2 linked regions of the Stegostoma tigrinum genome follow. The protein of the gene in region 1 interacts with the protein of each later gene in a pairwise test. Links are inferred from orthologs where the notes say so. Each region holds a gene or a part of one and is shown on either strand. Other genes may lie near its edges.

Region 1 (10,024 bases):
GTAGTTGGCAACTTTCTCTGCATTTTGATTATGGTTTTCACAACTGTTTTAGCATAACAACTTTCACCAGCCAGTATTCTCAACTTGATTATTACTGAAAAGAGAGACACATTGCTGAACCAAACATCTAATCAGGACAAACACAAGAATGGCAACTTTTAAACAATCACAACAATTTACACTCTAGGGAAAAAGATGCTGAATGGTTGGCAAATCTGGTTAGCTGAGGCATTAGCAAGTGAAAACTGTAGGATGTGACAGGCTGCTTAACAAATTTCGACATGAGGGAATGTTACTATTGTGATATTTATAATAATAAAAAACAAATTTGATAGGGTCACTGAAAAAACAGAGGAATGAAGGAACAAAGGGCCATAATCTTAAAATTAGAACCAGATAATTTAGGAGGGAAATTGCACTGAGGATAGAGAATCTCTGGGCTCTTCACTCCAAAACAGCTGTTCATGTTCCATGGGAACGAATCCAAACTCTCAAGACTGAAAGTTCGATTTTGATTCAGGAAGGGATGTGGAGCAAAAGCAGATCAATTGGACAGAGATATAGATCAGCTACTGTGATGTAATGAAGTAGGCCTAAGGGGCTAAACAGATACCTCCTGTTCCTTGCTTGTATAGTTTTTTATTCTCTGAGATATTTTCAGGATCTAAGGATTCCTGGAGAATTACCAGCAGTGTCTCTGCAGCTACTTCCCTTAACATCCTAAAACGTGACACATCAGATCCATGAGATATAATAGTAGTTTCCCTTGTATGTATTCTCTAGTGATAACCATTGTGTTTATTTCCTTGCTTATTTTCTGTTTGATGATTCAATATCGTTTGGAATGTTACTAGTGTATTCTACAGTAATGACTGATGCAAAGTACTTATTCATTGCTTCAGTCATTTTCCTATTCTTCAATATTATTTTCCCAGCCTCATTCTCTAAGGGGCCTGTGTTCGCTTTGGCCTCTCTGTTCCTTTTTATATATTTAAAGAAGCTGTTGCTGCCTGTTGTGTTATTACTTGCAAGTTTACTCTCAAAGTTTATTTTCTCCCTCTTTATTATTTTTTTCTTTTGTTGCTTTTTAAAACTTTCCCAATCTTCTGGATTACCACTAATCTTTGCTATGCTGTTTTATGCTATCCCTAACTATCCTTAATCATGTTTAGTTTATCCCTTTTCTACAATCATTCATTCTCACTGGGATAAATCTTTGTTGTGAGCCATTAACTATTTTCTTAAATGTCTGCCATTTGGCTTTCCTACAAAACATAAAGATTTATCCCTGTGAGAAAGAAGAATTGTCGGAAGGGGATAAACTTGGGGGAAGCACAGTGGCTCAGTGGTTAGCACTGCTGCCTCACAGCGCCAGGGACCCGGGCTCATTTCCTGCCTCGGTGACTGTCTGTGTGGAGTTTGCACATTCTCCCCGTGTCTGTGTAGGTTTCCTCCAGATGCTCCAGTTTCCTCCCACAGTCCAAAGATGTGCAGGGTAGGTGGATTGGCCATGCTAAATTATCCATTGTGCCCAGGCACGTTTAGGTTAGGTGGGTTAGACATGGGAAATGCAGGGATAAGGGAGTGGGCCTGGGTGGGATGATCTTCAGAGGGGCAGTGTGGATTTGTTGGGCCAAATGGCCTGTTTAGACACTGTAGGGATTCTATGAAAACTCCTTCCCCAGTACACTCCAAATAGCTTTGCCTTCATTGCTTTGTAATTATTTTAGGTTTAACACAGTTGTTTCCGATCCAGGTTACTGAGTCCCAAACTGAACGTGGAATGCCCTGCCTGCCAATGTAGTTAACTCAGCCACATTTGGGGCATTTAAACAATCCTTGGATAAGCATATGGATGATGGTGGGATAGTGTAGGGGGATGGGCTTAGATTAGTTCACAGGTCGGCGCAACATCGAGGGCCGAAGGGCCTGCTCTGCACTGTGTTGTTCTATGTTCTATGTTCTATGAACGTTAAATGCTACCATGTTATGGTCAATGTTGCCTAAGGGAATCTTTCAACATTGAGATAATTTATTAAAGGTTGTTGACTTGCTCGCAGAGCTGGCTTGTTTTCATTCAGACATTTCATCGCCATGCTCGGTAACATCATCAGTGAGGCCTCCAATGAAGTGATGTTGTTCTACTCCGCCATCTGGTCATTATGGTGAGTACTGTCATTTCCTGTTTTGATCTGTATGGGTTTGTAAAAGGGATCCAATTTTGTATGTTTGTTAATTGCATTATGGGTTGACAACCATGCTTCTAGAAATTCCTGTACACGTCTATGTTTGGCTTGGGCTACTACAGTTACCTTGTCCCAGTTAAACTGATGGCCTTCGTTGTCCGAGTGTGCCGATTTTAAGGAAAGTTCATGGTGTCATTTTGCTGCTAGTTGATGTTTGTATATTCTGATGGCTGCGTTGGTTCTGCATGTTTGGGAACACTCACAAGGATTAAAGACCCCACTCCCACAACATGCAGAACCAACACAGTTTACAAATTTCCATGCAAGGGCTGCCACAAAAATTACATCAGACAGACAGAAAGGAAACTAGCCATCAGAATACACAAAAATCAACTAGTAGCAAAACAGCATGTCTATTTCTCCTTAATATCAGCACAATTGGACAACGAAGGCCATCAGTTCAACTGGGACAACGTAACTGTAGTAGCCCAAGCCAAACAAAGACACGCACAGGAATTTATAGAGGCATGGTTCTCCACCCGTAATGTAATCAACAACCATATAAAATTGGACCCCATATACAAACCCATACAGATCAAAACCAAACATTCAGCAAGCAAATAGAATTGGATGCCATATACAAATCCATACAGATCAGAACTGGGAATAACATTACTCGCCATAATGGACCAGGCAGTATAAATTCCAAATGGAGTAGAATAACATAGCTTCATCAGAGACTCCACTATTGATATCACCGACCGTGGTGATGAAATGTCTGAATGAGAACAAGCCAGCTTGGTGAGCAAGTCAACAACCTCACCCACAACCCGAGCTACAGATCTTGGCTAAAACCTTAAATAATTTATTAAACTTGCTTTCTTGTACTGGTTAAGATGTTTCTTCTTCTGCACCCGCAAATCGTGTCTCACTAACTTAACTGAGTTTTTTGAAGAAGTAACAAAGAAGATTGATGAGGACAGAGCAGTGGATTTAATCTAGATGGACTTCAGTAAGGCATTCACAAGGTTTCTCATGGTAGACCGGTCAGCAAGGTTAAATCACATGGAATACAGGGAAAACTAGCCATTTGGAAACGAACGTAGGAGACAGAGGGTGGAGATGGAGGATTGCTTTTCACACTGGAGACCGGTGTGCCACAAGGATCAGTGCTGGGTGCATTGCTTTCGTCAGTTGTACAAATGATTTAGATGTGAACATAGCAGGTATGGTTAGTAAGTTTGCAGACGACACCAAAATTGGAGGTGTAGTGGACAGTGAAGAATGTTACCTCAGAGTACAACAGGATCATGATCAGATGGGCCACTGAGGAGTGCGAGATGGAGTTTAATTTAGATAAATGTGAAGTGCTGCATTTTGGAAAGGTCAGTCAGGGCAGGATTTTTATACTTAATGGTAAGGTCCTGGGGACTGTGGCCAAACAAGGAGACCTTGGAGTGCAGGTTCATAGTTCCTTGGAAGTGTAGTCGCAGGTAGACAAGGTAGTGAAGAAGGCATTTGGTGTGCTTATCTTTATTGGTCAGTGCATTGAGCATAGAAGTTGGGAAGTCATGTTGCGGCTGTACAGGACATTGGTTAGGTCACTTTTGGAAAACTGTGTGCAATTCTGGTCTCTCTGTTATAGGAAGGATGTTGTGAAACTTGAAAATGTTCAGAAAGGATTTATAAGGAGAGTGCCAGGGTTGGAGGGTTTGAGTTATAGGGAGAAGCTGAATAAGGCTGGGGCTGTTTTCCCTGGAGCGTTGGAGGCTGAGGGGTGACCTTATAGAGGTCTATAAATCATGAGGGACAGAGGCAGGGTAAATAGACAAGGATCTGAAGAAGAGTCTAGGCCTGAAATGTCAGCCTTCCTGCTCTTCTGAGGCGGCTTCGCCCGCTGTATTCATCCAGCTCTACACCTTGTTATCTTAAATAGACAAGTTCTTTTCCCTGGGGTGGGAGAATCCAAAACTGGACGACATAAGTTTAAGGTGAGAGGGGAAAGATTTAAAAAGGACCTAAAGGGCAACTTTTTCAGGCACAAGGTGGTGCATGTATGGAACAAGCTACTAGAGGAAGTGTTGGAGGCTGGTACAATTACAACAATTAAAAGGCAACTGGATGGGTACGTGAAGAGGAAGGGTTTAGACGGATATGGGCCAAATGTTGCCCACAAATCTGCACCAATGATTTGCAAAGCCAAGATACCTGCTGAGATGGCATCCTAAACTAGAGGAGAAAGTAGGAGTTAGTCCCCAAACGATCCAAAAAGATTTACAGGAGAAAGTGCCTTTTTCAAAGTGGTCTGTGTCAGGGTTTGAAAGGGTTAATTGTCCCTAATGTCTTAAGCACCATCCACTATGATGATATCATAGGGACTTGGTGGGAGGGTAAATTTGGATAGTCCTTCCTCAATCTGTTCCTGCAGAAGCCACACCCAGCCTTGAAATTTGATCTGATCCCACAGTGTGAACTGTGAGAGTTGAGTGGTAGATCAGAAGTGAGGGGGTGTTCCTGTCAGACTGGGAGCACAGCTGGTAATAACTCAGTCAGGGCTCCACTGTGACCACTGCTGCCTCACAGTTCAGGATGACAACATTTCAGTTCTGACCCCACTTGAGCTTTCGATCCACCCCACCTTGCAAAGCCCAAGTTTAGGATTGTGAACAGCAAATGGCCAACAATCTAGGTCCTCCTTAATCTCAATCTAGACAGTTTCTAATCCATGCTGGAGCAAATGGGACTAAACTCAGGCCTCCCGGTTCAGAGGTAGAGTCATTGCCACTGTACCAAATGAGCCCATACTCTCAGTCTATTCCATCAGTTGCTATCATTAGAATAACCAACATCTTAATAAAAACAAAAGCCCTTTCTTGTTAAACTATCAAATCTGTTTTTCTCCAGCACACCAAACCAAGAAGGCCCTATCAGGAGAGAGAATAGTGGATGCTAGCTCACGATGGGCAGGACGGACGAATCATTATACAGCAGCAATGAAAAGGTCACAGATCCATTGACACAGATACTGCCTACATGATTTGCTCTTTCAGCATTTTTTGTTTATCTTTCACTACCACAAGGAGTTAAGGCCAAGAACATTTCAGGGGAAGCTTAATAAACACACCGCTGGAGAGAGAATGTGGTGAGACTTGTCCCTCATTGGGAAGTGTCAACAGGATCTATATCTGTGGTCTAAATTCTATTCAACAATCGTATCCGAACTCCCCACAGGGAGTTATCATTTGTCATTTGTCAGTGAAGGATCGGTGATGTATCACTTCCTGGAATTGATTGATGAAAAAAAACCCACACAAATAATTCTAACGTGTAGTTTTGAAAAACCTTTTTCGGCCGGTAGCTTCATTTACAAAACTTCCTTGCTGACAAACAGCCCGCTCACCATCCCACCTTGCCTTTTTCCTGGGAGAATCAGTGCCAATTGCTTTCTCTCGCCTTTCACATTCACATGAAACTGTAACTAAATTAGGAGAAATAACATGAAGCGGATGTTGCTGTAACAGGCAGCACACGCCCACTGGGCGAAGGAGTGTTGTGTAACGAATGTGACATGTGTACGGTTAACTTTGAGAGGGGAGGGGGAGGTCGAAGAAAAAGATCAGATTTTAAAGGTTGTAAACCCCTCATTTAAAGCAAAAGGGTAAATCCGAGCAGGAAGCGTCAGAACGTCACAAAACGTCCATCAACCGAGTTAGTTCCGGCTAGTCAGACACGTGTTAATGTTTAAAAAAAAAGTAGACCTGCTCCTGTGTTTTTTTGTTACGAGTGGTTTTCTTGGAGCTTTCAACTAGCAAATGGTAATTGGAACCAGACGGACACAGGCAAGTGAGCGGAGTAGAATCGGCCCCTTATTTTTCAAAAGAGAGAAAAGTACGAAAAAAAATCCAGAGAAGGAGGGGGATCCCCCGGGGAGGAAATTCCCGAGCTGCTGGATGGAAATACGCCGATTACGAAATGACATGGAGGGAACGGAATGGATACAGTCAGTCACTGCCCCTAGGACAAGGTTTAATCTCTTCATATTTACTATCTGCCTGTCGGAGTGAACGCTCCAGAGAATCCACATTTAGCTACAGTGTCTCCCATTAATTAGCTTTCAATGCTACTCAGAAAGTACGGACAATTTGTGCTAATTACTGCATTTTTAACATTGTCCGCAACCTCTGAATCAAAATTGAGACAGTAATCTATATATATATATTTAGAGACCGAGGGTCGACTTTTTTGGCAACTTTTTTTAACAATTTGACACAGCACACAATGTCTTCGTTTAGATATCTCTTTTTCTAAAAACTTATAAGAATTTCGAGAAGAAAATCCCGACTGATTGCTTCCCCCCCTTCCCGAGTCGGGGGAGGTCGCATTCAGAACAGCATTTATATACAATGTCTGTGGACGGCGATGAGAATGCGGAGCAGCAAAAGGACAGCCGGCTTCCGAAGGCCAGGCTAAAAAGCTACAACACCATCACCACTTTCTACCACGAAACCCTGCAGGAAGTGGGCCGCCTGAGTCGGGAGCTCACCCTGAAGGACGGCCTGGTCAAAGACCTGCAGGCTCGCCTGGCCGCCTACGAGGGCAGCATCGCGGTCGGTTTCGGCCAGGAGCCCGGGGTCAGCTTTGGTCCGTCCGGCTCCCTTGTGGACTGTCTGCTGCAAGAGGTGGGTAAAGTCAAAAAGGAGCTGGCGGATTCAGCAAGGATTTGGCAGCAAGAGAACACCAAGCTGAAAGAGGTAAGGGGCAAAAACATCTATCTGTAAAGATGTGTCTAGTATTTTTGGAAAAATAATAAAAATCTTCCTGTGGCATAGTGAAAATATATAATCCAGGTTAATTCACAAGTGAGTAAAACCTGCTGGGGTAAGGAATTCCCTTTTGTTCAGAATCAGTAGATGCTGACTTTTATCAGAATGGTTCTAGGAATGAGGAGTTTTGGTTTTGAAGATAGTTTGGAGATTTTGGGATTCATGTCCTTTCAGAGAAGATTAAGTGGATATTTAATTGATATTAATTTGTTTCATGGCTTATTCAAAATCAGGAGGTCTGGACAGAGTAAATTGTAAATGTTCCCACTTATGAAATGATGGAGGAATGAAAGGGCACAGATTTTAAAGTAATTGGCAAAAGCATTGAGGAAACTTTTTTTTAAATTGAGCATTTAAGGTCTAGAATGAATTGCTGGAGAACATGGTGGAGGCAGGATCAATTGAAGCATTCAAAAGGGATGTGAACTTACCTGAAACGGAAGAAAATGCAGAGTTATGTGAACATGTTGGAGAATATTATTAAATGAATTTCTCCTTTAGAAAGCTTGCACAGGCACAGTGACCTGAATGGCCGCCTCCTGTGCTTGTAACAACTTGTGTCGAAGGGATGTCGCACAAAGTTAAAACAACTGATCTGGATGAACTGTATTTTTGGATGTCTTTTAACAAAAATAATCAACTGAAGCCTGCCTAAGCTGATTGTGTGGGTTCTGATACACAGCATTGGTCTCAGTTGACGTAACAGTGTAACTTCCCTCCTTCGGAGGCCGGGAGTCCAGACAGCTAGTGACCCACCTTGAAATCGTCTTTAGATTTCAGGCACCCTCAAATGCATACGGGAGGATAAGATCTGATTCAACTAATACCCTTGAGGAAAGGAAAACAGCCCCTCGGGCTTACCTGTATGACTCCAGTTCTGCCCAATAATGGTCATGGTGGCAAGTCACTCAGTTGTATCAAATCTCTCCCAAGAGGTCCAGAAGAGTCACTATTACTTTCTTATTAAAGATGGCCAATAAGTGGTAACTTTGCCCTGGGGACCACAGCCCAATGAGGGAGAAACAAAGAATACATTTTTTTTAAGGAGTAAAAATTACATTTTTCTTCTTTTCCTAAATGTCAGCCACATTAAAAGGAATGCTTTTTTTATGAGAAAATTAGAGAAACACATTGTCTTTGTAATACCTTGTCCCAGAGTATTTCTAGGTAATAAAGTACTTTTGAAGTGCCATCACTGTCGCAATTTAGGCTCAAGTTCCCAAAAACAGCAGGTAATAAAGATCAGAATCTGTTACAGTAATATTGGCTGAGGGATAAGTACACTGCGGAGAATACCTCTGCACTTCCACAAAACTGTAGTGTGCTATCACCTGAGAGGGCCCGCAGAGCCTTATCCAAAAGACAGTGTCTCTGATAGTGCAGCACTAGGAGTGTCAATCTAGATAGTCAGAAATTGCATGACACCAGGTTTTAGCCCAACAAGTTTATTCAAAACCAAAGCTTTTGGCGTCTCGCTCCATCTTCAGGTGTTAGTGAGAGAGGTGGTATCACTATCTCTTACTAACACCTGAAGAAGCACTGAGGCTCTGAAAGCTTGTGTTTTCAAATAAACCCGATTTTGACTGAGGGATAAATATTGTGCAGGTCACCAGGGGAGACTCCTGTACTCTTCCTTGATTAGGGGGCCATTGAATCTTTATGTCAATCCCAGCTGAAAGAAGTCACCTTCATTCTGACACTGGGGATGTCAGAGCTTAGATTTTGCGTTGCTGTAGGAATTGAACCTGCAGCTTTCTGAACCAGAGATGAAAGTATGATCCACTGAATCACGTCTGACCAATCATCTTGCTGTTGGCCAGACATTTGGTTTTCCTGTTTTTCCATTTCTGAAGCTAGAAGCCTCCAACCTTAAAATTCCTAACTTCTGCATTTACTCCATGAAGTCCTCTCTTCCTCATGACTCCACTGTTGTCCACCCAACTGATTCACAGCACCCTTTGTGTTCCTAGAATGTCTGACATCCATTCACAACAACACATCTCTGTAATATTGATTTTTTTTTCAGGATGTCAGTATCGCTGGCAAAGACATTGTTTTAGTGACTGTCCCAAGTTACTCAGAGAAGGTGGAGCTGGCCCACTGTTACGATATCAATGGTGGTTTGATACAGTAGAGTGACTGCTTGGCAATTGAGTAATTAAGAGCAAAGCATGTTGGTCATTCTTCCAATAGATATGATATGATATGAAAATACTCAATGTGGTCCTTTTGAACTGAGAACAGAGAAGAACGTCAACATAGTATGAGAGGCTGCGACTGATAATTTTGAGATCAAATTTCAGCAAGAAAGTGGGGAATTTAAACTAACTTGATAACATAAATCTGGCATCAATTTGCATCTGTAAGTGCAAACACAAAATTACTGGATTTTTCTGTTTACAAGTTTCCTATAAGGAAGGAAATCTGTCCTTGCCCAGTCTGGTCTCCATGTAACTCCTGATCAACAGCAAAGTGATGGAGTCTCAATGGCCCGAGCAAGTCACTTCCCCCAAGATAGGGATGAGCAATGAGTGCTGGCCTTTCCAGCAATGCCCGCATATCCTTGATTTGAATAACCAAATACTTGTGAATTTGTGCGTCCAAAATTGATTTGTGTCAGCAGAGGTTCTGCTTCTTCCAGAATCACTCTGTGACTGCCATAATTATGAACTTCCCCCTTCTGCGTGATCTCTTTTATCCCACCCACGTGTAAATCAAACTGATCTATTAATACCATGTAAGTTTCAGTCCCTGGGGTAAAGCAGCTATGGCTACAGAGAAATTTGAGAGATTATGCAGGAAACTCAGTGGCACTTTGAGGACTCTGTATTCAAAGTCGACTAACTCAGGTGATCTGAAAGGTTTCTTTGAAAAAACCCACTTCTTTACTTATGGATTAGTGAGAATGTGGAACTTGCTGTCAGAAGAATTGATTGACTTGAGAAGCATCAATGCATTTAAGGGGAAGCCACATAAACACTTGAAGAAGAAGAGATTCAAAGGACGTGTTGATGG
Region 2 (10,373 bases), on another chromosome or scaffold:
TTCCCCATGATGTCAATGTGGTAATTAGTCTCCACACAAAGAGACCTGTGAAAGAACCAATACAAATATATTCCTAAATACATGGGCCAAAGCATCACAGTCTTTGATTTTGTACTACAAATGTGGCTGTATGGTCTGTACTTCAGCAAATAGATGCACATGATGTTGTTAAGTGTATCCTTTGTGGTTTGCAGAGGGACACCAAACAACTATGATCTCATGGCCATCTACACAAGTGTTTGAGGAACGTTAAATGCATGACAGCAGTTCAGTGGAGTGAGCCTGAACAAATTTGATTTACCTGACTGATCAAAGGCCAACACTAAAAGCCTGCATTATAGCACAAAACTGGATATTTTAAAATAAAGATTTTACTATTTTGACAATGGTATTGCCTGAATTGTGTTCTGATATAACACACAAAATTAGATCACAGACATTATTATCTGTTGAATAAAACAAAGAACTGCAGATAATGGAGATATGAAACAAACAAAAACAGAAACTGCTGGAGAAACTCAGCATGTGTGGCAGCATCTGTGAAGAAAAAACAGAGTTCATGCATCAAGTCCAGTGACCTTTCTTCAGAACTGATTAATATCTCTTGATTGTGCAGTGGTGTTGGCTTACTGAACACTGCAGCTCCATTTTTGATTAAATTAATACCAACGCATCCCAAAACAAATGTAATATCTGGCTGATAAGAGGACAATAATTTTAACTTTGCTTTGGGGTCATTGCTGTGGCACACAAGTTACACCTTCAGTCAAATTGTTCAATATCTTAAATCTGTTGAAATGCCATTTGAGAAATTTGCCTCTTAAGCTTTCATCACTGCGTACTTTCTCTAAAGTCAGTCAAGACACTTAAAGTGGAATTATCCAAGTTAGGTCACGGCATTGCACTCAAAGGCGCATCCACTAGAATTGATTTGAAAATGATTGAGCTTTGCTGTGTCTTAAGGTACCTTAGTAATGGATTAACTGTATTATTGTAGCTTGCTGCTTTATTGCAATATTACTGTACATCCTCATATCATAGAATACTTACAGAGTGGAAACAGGCCCTTCAGCCCAACAGGTCTACACTGATCCTTGGAGCAAGCCACCCAGACCCATCCCCATATAACCCACCTAATCTACACATCCCTGAACACTACAGGCAATTTAGCATGGCCAATCCACCTGGTCTGCACATCCTTGGACTGTGGGAGGAAACGCACACACACATGGGGAGAACGTTCAAACTCCACACAAACAGTTGCCCGAGGGTGGAATCAAACCTGGCACCGTGAGGCAGCAGTGCTAACCACTGAGCCACCACTTTGCTGAATAAGAGTAGCAAAAAACCAGAAGATGTTTCAGGAACAATGTAAATATCCTACAGTGAAGCAGGCAACATGCAAAGTAACACAAATCTGAGAGAAATTTGTCAGGGCTTCTTTTGTTCCTAGGTCTGAATGAAAGGCTGGAGATCCACCGTGTTTCATTTTCTATTGACCTTCAAATTCAACATGGGTAGAACGTAAATTACAAAGTGGTGAAAAGGCATCTACTGGGATGGAAAAATCAGACAAAGTGTAAAACACCCTGTATTGTTTCCCACTTGCTCAAGTCACACACATGCCCTGATTCTTTTATATTCCTTCATGGAGTTGAGAAACTTAAATATTCCTTAGTTTCTAGGAGTCTTGCCTGTATCAGAAACAGTAGCGCTCTTGAACAACGTGCTGATACAATTTCAAAGAAGCTTTTCTAAACTTGACTGAGTGGACAGTTTAATTAATATCACAGATGTTCACGGTGAACAGGGTTGGCCAAGTCAAATGGCACAGGATGGTTATTGTTCTCTGTATGAACTTGCTGTGTTGCAATAAGTATTGTGCTGAATGTTCACTTTGGGAGGGGAACAGGAGTTGACACAATTTGTTGATCTGCAACATAGCAGTCAACTAGCATGCAAGTTCTTACAAATAGTAATGTGATAATGACCATCTAATCTGTTTTGTGATGTTGACTGAGGAACTAACAGCAGACAGTGGGGACCTTCTGTGCTCACCTGAGAGAGAAAAGCAGTCTCAGTTTAACCTACCATCTGAAAGATTGTTCATCTGACAGTGCAGCATTCCCTCAGAACTGTTTTGCATTATCAGCCTAAATTTCTGTTCTCAGGAATGTGGCATGAACCTCCAACCTTCTAGGTCAGAGTTGACACTGCTACCAAATGAACTGAATCTGATCGAAAATAAATGTGAAATCTTACAGAGAATGACCACAATGTTGGATTGCTGATATTGTGAAATTGTGAAATTCTGTAATATAATGAAATTTTCAGTTCTGTGTCCTGCTTCTTTTACATTTTAGTTTTCAGAAACTTAATTTGCACTTGTTTTCCCCTGTCGTCCAGCAGGACTATGACAACTTCACCTTTTTTTTAGTCATGCAGTAGGATTTGAAATGGTTAGGTGCTTATTTTTTTTCTTACATTCAACCTCTATATAATGCTATCCCATTGCTGATGGGCCCTCAGTTTACAAATAGGTTGGCCCTGTAACAAAAGGAGCATTTTGATGTTATTTGATGACGTTTACAATGTAGCACATAAACTTTCACAATCCACAGTTAGATTGCCATGCTCTGAATTTATAGAGTTTACATCCTCCTTTAAGAGAAATATAGCCTGTTTTTATTGATATATTCATATTTTTGCTGAATGTGCATTGCATAGCTTTTAAACACAACATGTCCACCCTATTCCTACTCTCTGACAAAAGTTTTTTTTCTCTTTACACTCTGGTAAACAGGAACTACTTTTGCAAAAAGCCATGAGTTAGGTTGACAGTACTTCCAGGAAGGTTTAGAAATCTTATTTAATTTGTTCCGTATATATCAAACCTCTCTATTCATTCAAAACTTTCCACTGTTAATCATACTCTGCTCAAGGCTACAGATGAGCATGAATCCTTCTGTACTGGCCATCACTAACAGTGTGAGAAATAGTCGGCAACAGCAATTGTGCCTTCAATCTTCTAACCAGGAGGATATGCTTTGACCTTTGCTCAGCACCCCCAGCCAAAACTCAACCATCCTGAAAAAGGAATTAAAACCTGCATATCCTCCCATCATGTTTCTATGGCTCAATGCATTGAAGTTTGCTGCATAAAGCTTCATGCACTGCTGATTGCTGGTGGAACTGGTTTTCACTTTCAAGTTGATCTAACATCAATTTTCTGCACTTGAGTACTGAGTCAGTCAAGTATTTTCATTTAATACAGAACATGTGCATCACTGTGATGACATTGCATGTTGGTGTACTAATGTGGTATAGCACAGACTGATTGGATTGACTTTACTCTCATGATTCTCCACATAGCGTATTCATCTCTGCTGTGTTTTTACGGAAACTTCTCTACAAAGAGATTGTGAATCTGAAATTCAATTAACTACACCAGCTCAAAAAGTGGACTAAAATTAATTTGCTCCATCTTGCTCAAAGGCAGAGTAGAACATACTGAGGCATTAGTGTTGTGGTAATATCGGTGGGTTAGTAATCCAGAATCCCACGGAAATGTGGGTCAAATCTTACCATGGGAGATGCCATTTTCTCCAGATCATACTTGTTTATATCAATCCCCCATCACAAGGAGAGTTACACAAAATACAAGTGGGATTCTCCACTAATACTAGCTTCCCTCAATTGCAGGGTGTTATAGAATGCATTCGTGGTGCTTTGTAAACATCCTAACATCAACCTGTAGAATTCATCAAATGAAAATGCTTCCACTGCATATATATTCAAATTATATATGGCTATATGTGTGCTTCAGATACCCTGGAGCTACCAAGTTAGAGAAGTCTCAGCCTCCTGTTTACTTCCAAGGTCCTTGAATGGCAGTTGAGAAATAAGAATTAACTCCTCCAAGCATGACTGATAATACTTTTACAAAACCTTGACACTAACAGCGAAGATATGGCACTGTCTATGTTTTCACCAGGCCCTAGTGGAATAGATCATAGGCTTCTTAACAGGAGGTTGTGACGCCTGCACCTCTCCAGCAGAGCCTTGCAGTTTAACTCAAAGTGTGTGTTGCATTGTTGCAGCATGCTGTAACCTTCATAGCTGGAGCCAAAAAAGGATGGATGTCTGGGTGCAAATGAAACTGGGGATTGACACAAAGTCTCTAAGGATGAACAGGAGGATGAGGATATTACTGGCAAGAATATCTCACATGGGGCAACATAATTGTGTCTGGCAGTGACAAAGGCATTGCAGAAAGCATTTTCAAGGTGGAAATGCATATATACAAATGTGCAAGATAATTTACAGTGATGTGTCACTTGTTCTATCCATATGTCCTCAGTAAGAATAAGGTCCCTGCCCATCCCACTACTTCTATGTGCAGTTCTAACTCTGAACTGGGGTGGAAGGACCCTGTTCTGTCATTGGCCTGAAGTAACCTTGTAAGCTGCAACTCGTGGCTTAATGTCCCCAGAGGTGTTTTGCTTAGAGACCTAAGGCCTGTTGGTGGTGTGCTGTCCAGATGAGGTTTCACCCTCCACAGCTTGATTTCTGCAGTCTTTGGCTTCATAGGGGAGTTGGAGGAGCTGGGTGCCTCTTAAGTGTCCTGAGACAGAGCATATGGGCCCCTCTGTGTTGCTCCTTGCTGTTGGCACTTGCTGTCAGCATCCTGTCTGCCTGAGAGAAAGAGGCACCAGGGGAAGTGGAGATCTCTCATTTCCTTCTTGTGCTGCTTTGATGCTGAACATCACTCAAATGTCAAATTGGGTGTAAACATAATAAAGCTTTTAGTCAGTTTTATAGCAGCCTCCCTGCTATTGTGGCATCATCAGCTGGGCATGGTAGTCTGAAGTGATCTCCCAGCCTCATCATCCTCGAGGTGAAGCCCAGTGCGGTCTGGAACCAGGACAGGAAGCTCGGTGTCAGCGTGGTCTGTTGTTCGGAATTTTTGTTTTTGCAATGCTGGACATTTTACTTCTTCAAGATCTATCCATGAACTAGTAACTAAAGAAGCTGTATCCAGGTACCTTTGTATAAACTTTTCACAATACTCATTGAGTATATGTGATAATAAAGGTTAATTCTAATTTAAAATCTGGTGCCAAACACTAGCAGATCTGTAACATCACAATGAGTATTTTTTTAAGGGTTTACTTAATTTGTCACAGGTTGAATGGACTTTGTAAAAAAAATCCCTTCAAGAAATAAAAAGACATACTTATCAAAACAGTGAAAAAAATCTTCTTTAGGTCAACAAATTCTTGGGACATGATTTTCAGCACGTATATGCTTTTTCAGGAAAGCATGCAGCCCAAAATTTTACAAAAGTTGGCAACAATTTATTTCCAGTTAAAAGTGATTTGGTTAAGCTAAATTTCAGGGACATGAAATTGATGAAAATGGCACCAGCATAGTGAGTACCGTTCAGGCTGATTGGAGCCCATCTACTCCAGGCCAGAGGTGTCGTTTTCTCGACGTACTTTTCAGGTTTTCTCTTTCTGTTTGTCCTTTCTTCCTGAAGTGGTGTCAGTAAGGGCAGCATTTGCAGGGTCGGCGGAGGGGGACTCCTCCGGGTTTGGAATACCTTACAGAGACCTTGCAGAAGCCTTGAAGACCCCAACTTGAAAGGAACACGAACTCCCATTTTAGTAATTTCTTCTTATCCTTTGTAACTCAAAATAGCACTGGATTGTGGTGATAAATCCCTTTTCACTGTATCTTCACGGTATGCGACAACAAATCGTTCATTCATTCAAAACTTCAATTCTGATTAGAAAGCACTGGTTACTTTAAATCTAAATGTAGCCACGGTGCATAAAATTGACAAATCATTACCTTTTTTAAAACTTGTGAATTGAATTTAAAACTTTGCAACAGCAAAAATTTTGTCTCACCGTCCTGTTAAGTCACCAGAAATCCGAGGGCACTAAGTTCAAAGTCTGAGAGAATGTAGCATTTAAAAATAACCCTCACACACCTCTCTCTCTCTCTCTCATAGCTATATTAAACCCCTGGATTAGGACCAGATCATCAACACACTCCTTAACGCAGGAGACTGAAGTGGACGCGAGGTGAGCTGGTGACCATTAGAAGCTCGGAATTTTAGAACAGGGGCTAGTCTGATTTGCTGCTATACCGCTGATTGATACAGATATCAACCAATGAAACGCTGCGGTTTTTCCTAGCAACCAGCCAATAGAAGCTACGAGCGCTGAGTGTGAGGCGGGCCTTTGTCGCTGGTTGTGAGGTAACAGCGATAATTGACATGATGTCGGATCAATGGAAAAGAGGAACAGCGTTTGAAGGTGGGACCTGTTTTTGCGTCGCCTGGTAACGCAGCTAACAGACATGGAGGACTACCAATAGGAGGAGGGAATAGTGCCCAGCGGGCTTTGGGGGTGTGATGACGCACAACGGCAACTCCGGAGTTGTTCAGGGGCAGGTAAACAAAATGGCGGCTGCCTAACAACTGAACTCCTTGCAGGAGGAGGGAGGAGAGGCGATGCTGCATGGAGCGGAGCAACGACAACATCAGTCAGAGGAGCCCGAGGAATCCGAGTCGATCCTGGCGCCTTTCAGAGACTATGTCGAGATGGACGAGGTCATTGACTACATCAGTGACAACGACCTCATGGGAGTGGACACTTTCATCCACAGGATAGATTCCACTGACGTGATCTACCAGCCGAGGAAGAAACGGGCCAAAATCATCGGAAAGTACCTAATGGGCGACCTCCTGGGAGAGGGTTCCTACGGCAAAGTCAAGGAGATGCTGGACTCTGAGACACTGTGCAGGAGGGCCGTGAAAATCCTCAAGAAGAAAAAGCTGAGGAGAATCCCGAACGGGGAAGCGAATGTGAAAAAGTAAGTGGATGGAAGTAGAAATATTGCACACACGATCGAGGCTCATGAAGCGCCTGTAATGCTTACTGACAGTTCACACCGAATCCCTAAAAGTGGCAGTTGGACAGGCTCTACCCCATCCCCCTCAACTCCCCCATCGCCACTTTTCACTTTTGACAACCAAACCCGTCAGTCCATCGTCGCGATTCTTGCTCCCAAAGGGACAACGAGAGGTGAACTAGTAGCCTGTCTTACTGCAGCCAACCTGCATGTTGGTTTGAAATCTTTGGATTTCTGATGATCATATCTTTTTTCAATGTAACAAAGGCGGTACTTTCGTGCTCCGTCTCTTTGAATTAAGAAAAATGAAGTTCTGGTACCAGACTTGTCAAGTTGACATATTTTTGAAACGGGGAGGAGTAAATGTTATAGTGACATCGTATTCTTGAATCTCACAGCTATAGTAATATATTGAGCTTAACATTTTGAACCGACGACATTGGTACGAGACAGCTGTTTCCATTTAAACACCCAGTTTTAGTGATCTAGGTTGGAGAAAGAGGAAGTAAAACATTTGAACGATTACGATTGCCCGTTGATTTACCATATAGTTTGTCGTCATTGCGATTTTTGCGACATATAGCAATGAGCATTATGCAGAACAATGTTTAATTTTATTTTCAACCAAAAGATAAATTTAGCCAGTTGAATGTTGCAACCGCCTAGCTCCCATTTCTTTCTGTGGTTTAAAAACTCAACCACTGAACAGCAACTTACATTGTTTTAAGTATTGTATTTGACTTAACGATGATGTGAACTGCGTGTTTAGAAATGTGAAACAGGGAAACAGTTCTCATTGAAAATGACACCTCAATTAAAATTTAAACACAATTTAAATGCTTTCTATCACTGTTCTATTGATTTTATATTCTTCCTACTAAAATCTGAGCTTTTAATTTGCCAAACAAAAATATTGGGGACATTCCTTGGCTGAGTTCCCAATTTTGATTAATACTTATACTCTGGCTTCACTTGGGGCAAGATTTAGTTGGTTTTTAAAGGGTCATCGTGTGATTGTGAATTTGGGACTCTTCTCTTTCAGCGTTGGCACAGGGCTGTCTAGTCAGGTCGGTAAGGAAGTGAGTTCTTTTGGGTTCATGACATTGAAACTAAAGAGGAAAGCATTGATGACTTTTGGGGTTTGGGGAAAGGGATGTAATTTTGAGAGAGTTGATGATTGTGACGTAGCCGATATCTGTTCAGTAATCTTAGAAATCCTCTTCACCACTTTTACAAATATTAGATAAATCTCCATACATTTGCTTCAATTATTGAGTCAAAATATGTAAAAAAGAGCACTTGTACTGTTAATACAGTCAACTCTTAAATGAGAGTCCTGCTCATTTATTATTTGTGCCGTGCCTTCTTCCAAGATAGCTAGCATCTAACTTGCTTCAGCACAGCTAAACTCACTTAGATTCTTGCTAGTCTAAATATTCAACAATATTTGTTGATTCCTATAAAGAAATCTTACCCTGATGTACAGAGCTGAAAAAACAAGTGTAGGTTTTTCACTGAACAGTCAGTCAGCTTTTTGGATAACCTTTGTAATTTTTTTCTTACTTTATGTTGGTTCATGGTGTTTAAAAAGTTAATATTAGTGATTTTGTTCAAGTGAATTTGGACTATGAAAGGTCTAAAACATTTGATCCAAATCAAGTGTGGATAATGCATCCACCCATTGTTGGTTGCTGAAGGCTTCCTGGCATTACTACTCCAGTTCTGTTTTGACAGTGCCAATATTCCATCCTCTGTAAAATTAGCTCATTCAAATCTCTGCTGCTAACTTGCACAACCTTCCTTTCACCTATTAACCATCTGCTGATGTAGATTGGCTGTAGTCTCACTAACACCTTGAATTTAAAATTCTCATTTTTGTATTCAGATCGCTCAATGGCCTTGCTTCTCATGGTTGCAGTAACCTGTACTTTTGGAAATCTCTGCTCCTCAAATTCTGATCTTGCATGTATATCTTTGATTTATGTTGTCTCATCACTCGGTACCTTTGGCTCGCCTAAGCCCTGAGTCTTGGAATTGCCTTTTTCAACCTCACTATTTCTCTCTTTTCCTTTTTAAGTACTCCATAACACAATTTATTTGATCAAGTTTTGGCCATTTGTCATAGTTTTTTTTTCTATTTATGTACCTCAGCATCAAATGTTTTTGATAACACTGCTGTGATATACTTTGGAATGTTTTACTGTGTTGCAGGTGCAGAATAAGTGCAATTTGTTTTAAGGAATTAATAACACAGCAAAAAAATAGGAGCAGGAGTAGGCCATTCAGCCTTTGATCTGTTCTGCCAATCAGTAAGATTATGGCTGATCTGATTTAAGACTTAATTCTACTTTCTTGAATGCTGCTTGTAACCTTTGATTCCCTTGTTGGTCAAAATTCTGTCTACCTGAGCTTCATATATAGTCCATAGTCCAGCCTCCACTGCTGCCTGTGGAAAATTTCAAGGGCTGATGACCCTGAGAAAATACATTTCTTTTCATCTCGATCTTAAATGGGAGACTGCTTATTTTTAAAATGTGCACAGTATTTCTAAATTTCTGTATGAGGAGAAACATCCTCTCCACAACTACCCTATCAAACTCATTCAAACCTTGTATTTCAATGAGATCAACTTTCATTCTTCCAAACTCATGTGTATGGGCCCAACGCATTTAACCTTTTGTCAAAAGAGAATCCATTCTTTCCACATGTTTGTTTTGCATTCGCTCGCGCCCTGAATTTAATTTTTAACTACTTTTCAATGTTTCCCGTTAAAGTCCACAAAGCTTCTGAATCTTTTTCGTTAGTTGCTTTTCTACTGGATTTTAAAAAATCATTTATAAGCTTGTGGCAATATTATCTGTCCTTTAGCCTAAGGTATTGATATATATTTTATCCCTGAGGTATCAGTACTTACCCTCATGCCACTTCACTATCATCCCCAATACCATGAGCATCTTGTGTGGTAACTTTAATCTGGTACCCTTATCGAATGCTTTTAGCACATTCAAATACACTGCATCCATAGGTTCCTCTTTTTCTACCCTGCATTTTACAACTGTAAAGAATGGTGATAGGTTTATCAAATATGAATTCCCTTTCACAACTCTGTTGACTTTGCTTGCTAGGATTACAATTTCTTACATATCTTGCGTGTACCACTTTAGAATTGGATCCTAGCATTTCCTGAAATACAAAGATTAATTGGACTATAGTTTTTGCATTCTGTCTTCCTGCTTGAGTGCGTGTTGTATTTGCCGATCCTTAGTGTGCAGGAAGCTTTTCAGAATCTGGCAATTTTTGAAAGCTTACCACTAATGCATCTGCTTTCTCTGCATATCTTTACTTGAGATACAGTCATCAGATACTTGTTGAAGTTGTCAACCATTAGCGGAGGCCATGGCATTGAAGCACTCAGTGTGCCAATAAATATTTGAGAACAGGAGCCTAAGTAG

The links.
Region 2: the proteins of tnip2 (region 1) and stk11 interact in binary tests that used the Homo sapiens proteins (3 or more experiments, as listed by UniProt). The link is inferred for Stegostoma tigrinum from reciprocal best matches to the Homo sapiens genes TNIP2 and STK11.

The regions. Positions count from the first base shown.
Region 1 is NC_081356.1:130,374,049-130,384,072, forward strand, and holds the start of tnip2 (TNFAIP3-interacting protein 2), read left to right. Parts: upstream 1-5,768; 5' UTR 5,769-6,589; coding exon 6,590-6,937; intron 6,938-10,024. UniProt on the Homo sapiens protein: Inhibits NF-kappa-B activation by blocking the interaction of RIPK1 with its downstream effector NEMO/IKBKG.
Region 2 is NC_081383.1:17,098,169-17,108,541, reverse strand, and holds the start of stk11 (serine/threonine-protein kinase STK11), read left to right. Parts: upstream 1-6,422; 5' UTR 6,423-6,520; coding exon 6,521-6,882; intron 6,883-10,373. UniProt on the Homo sapiens protein: Tumor suppressor serine/threonine-protein kinase that controls the activity of AMP-activated protein kinase (AMPK) family members, thereby playing a role in various processes such as cell metabolism, cell polarity, apoptosis and DNA damage response.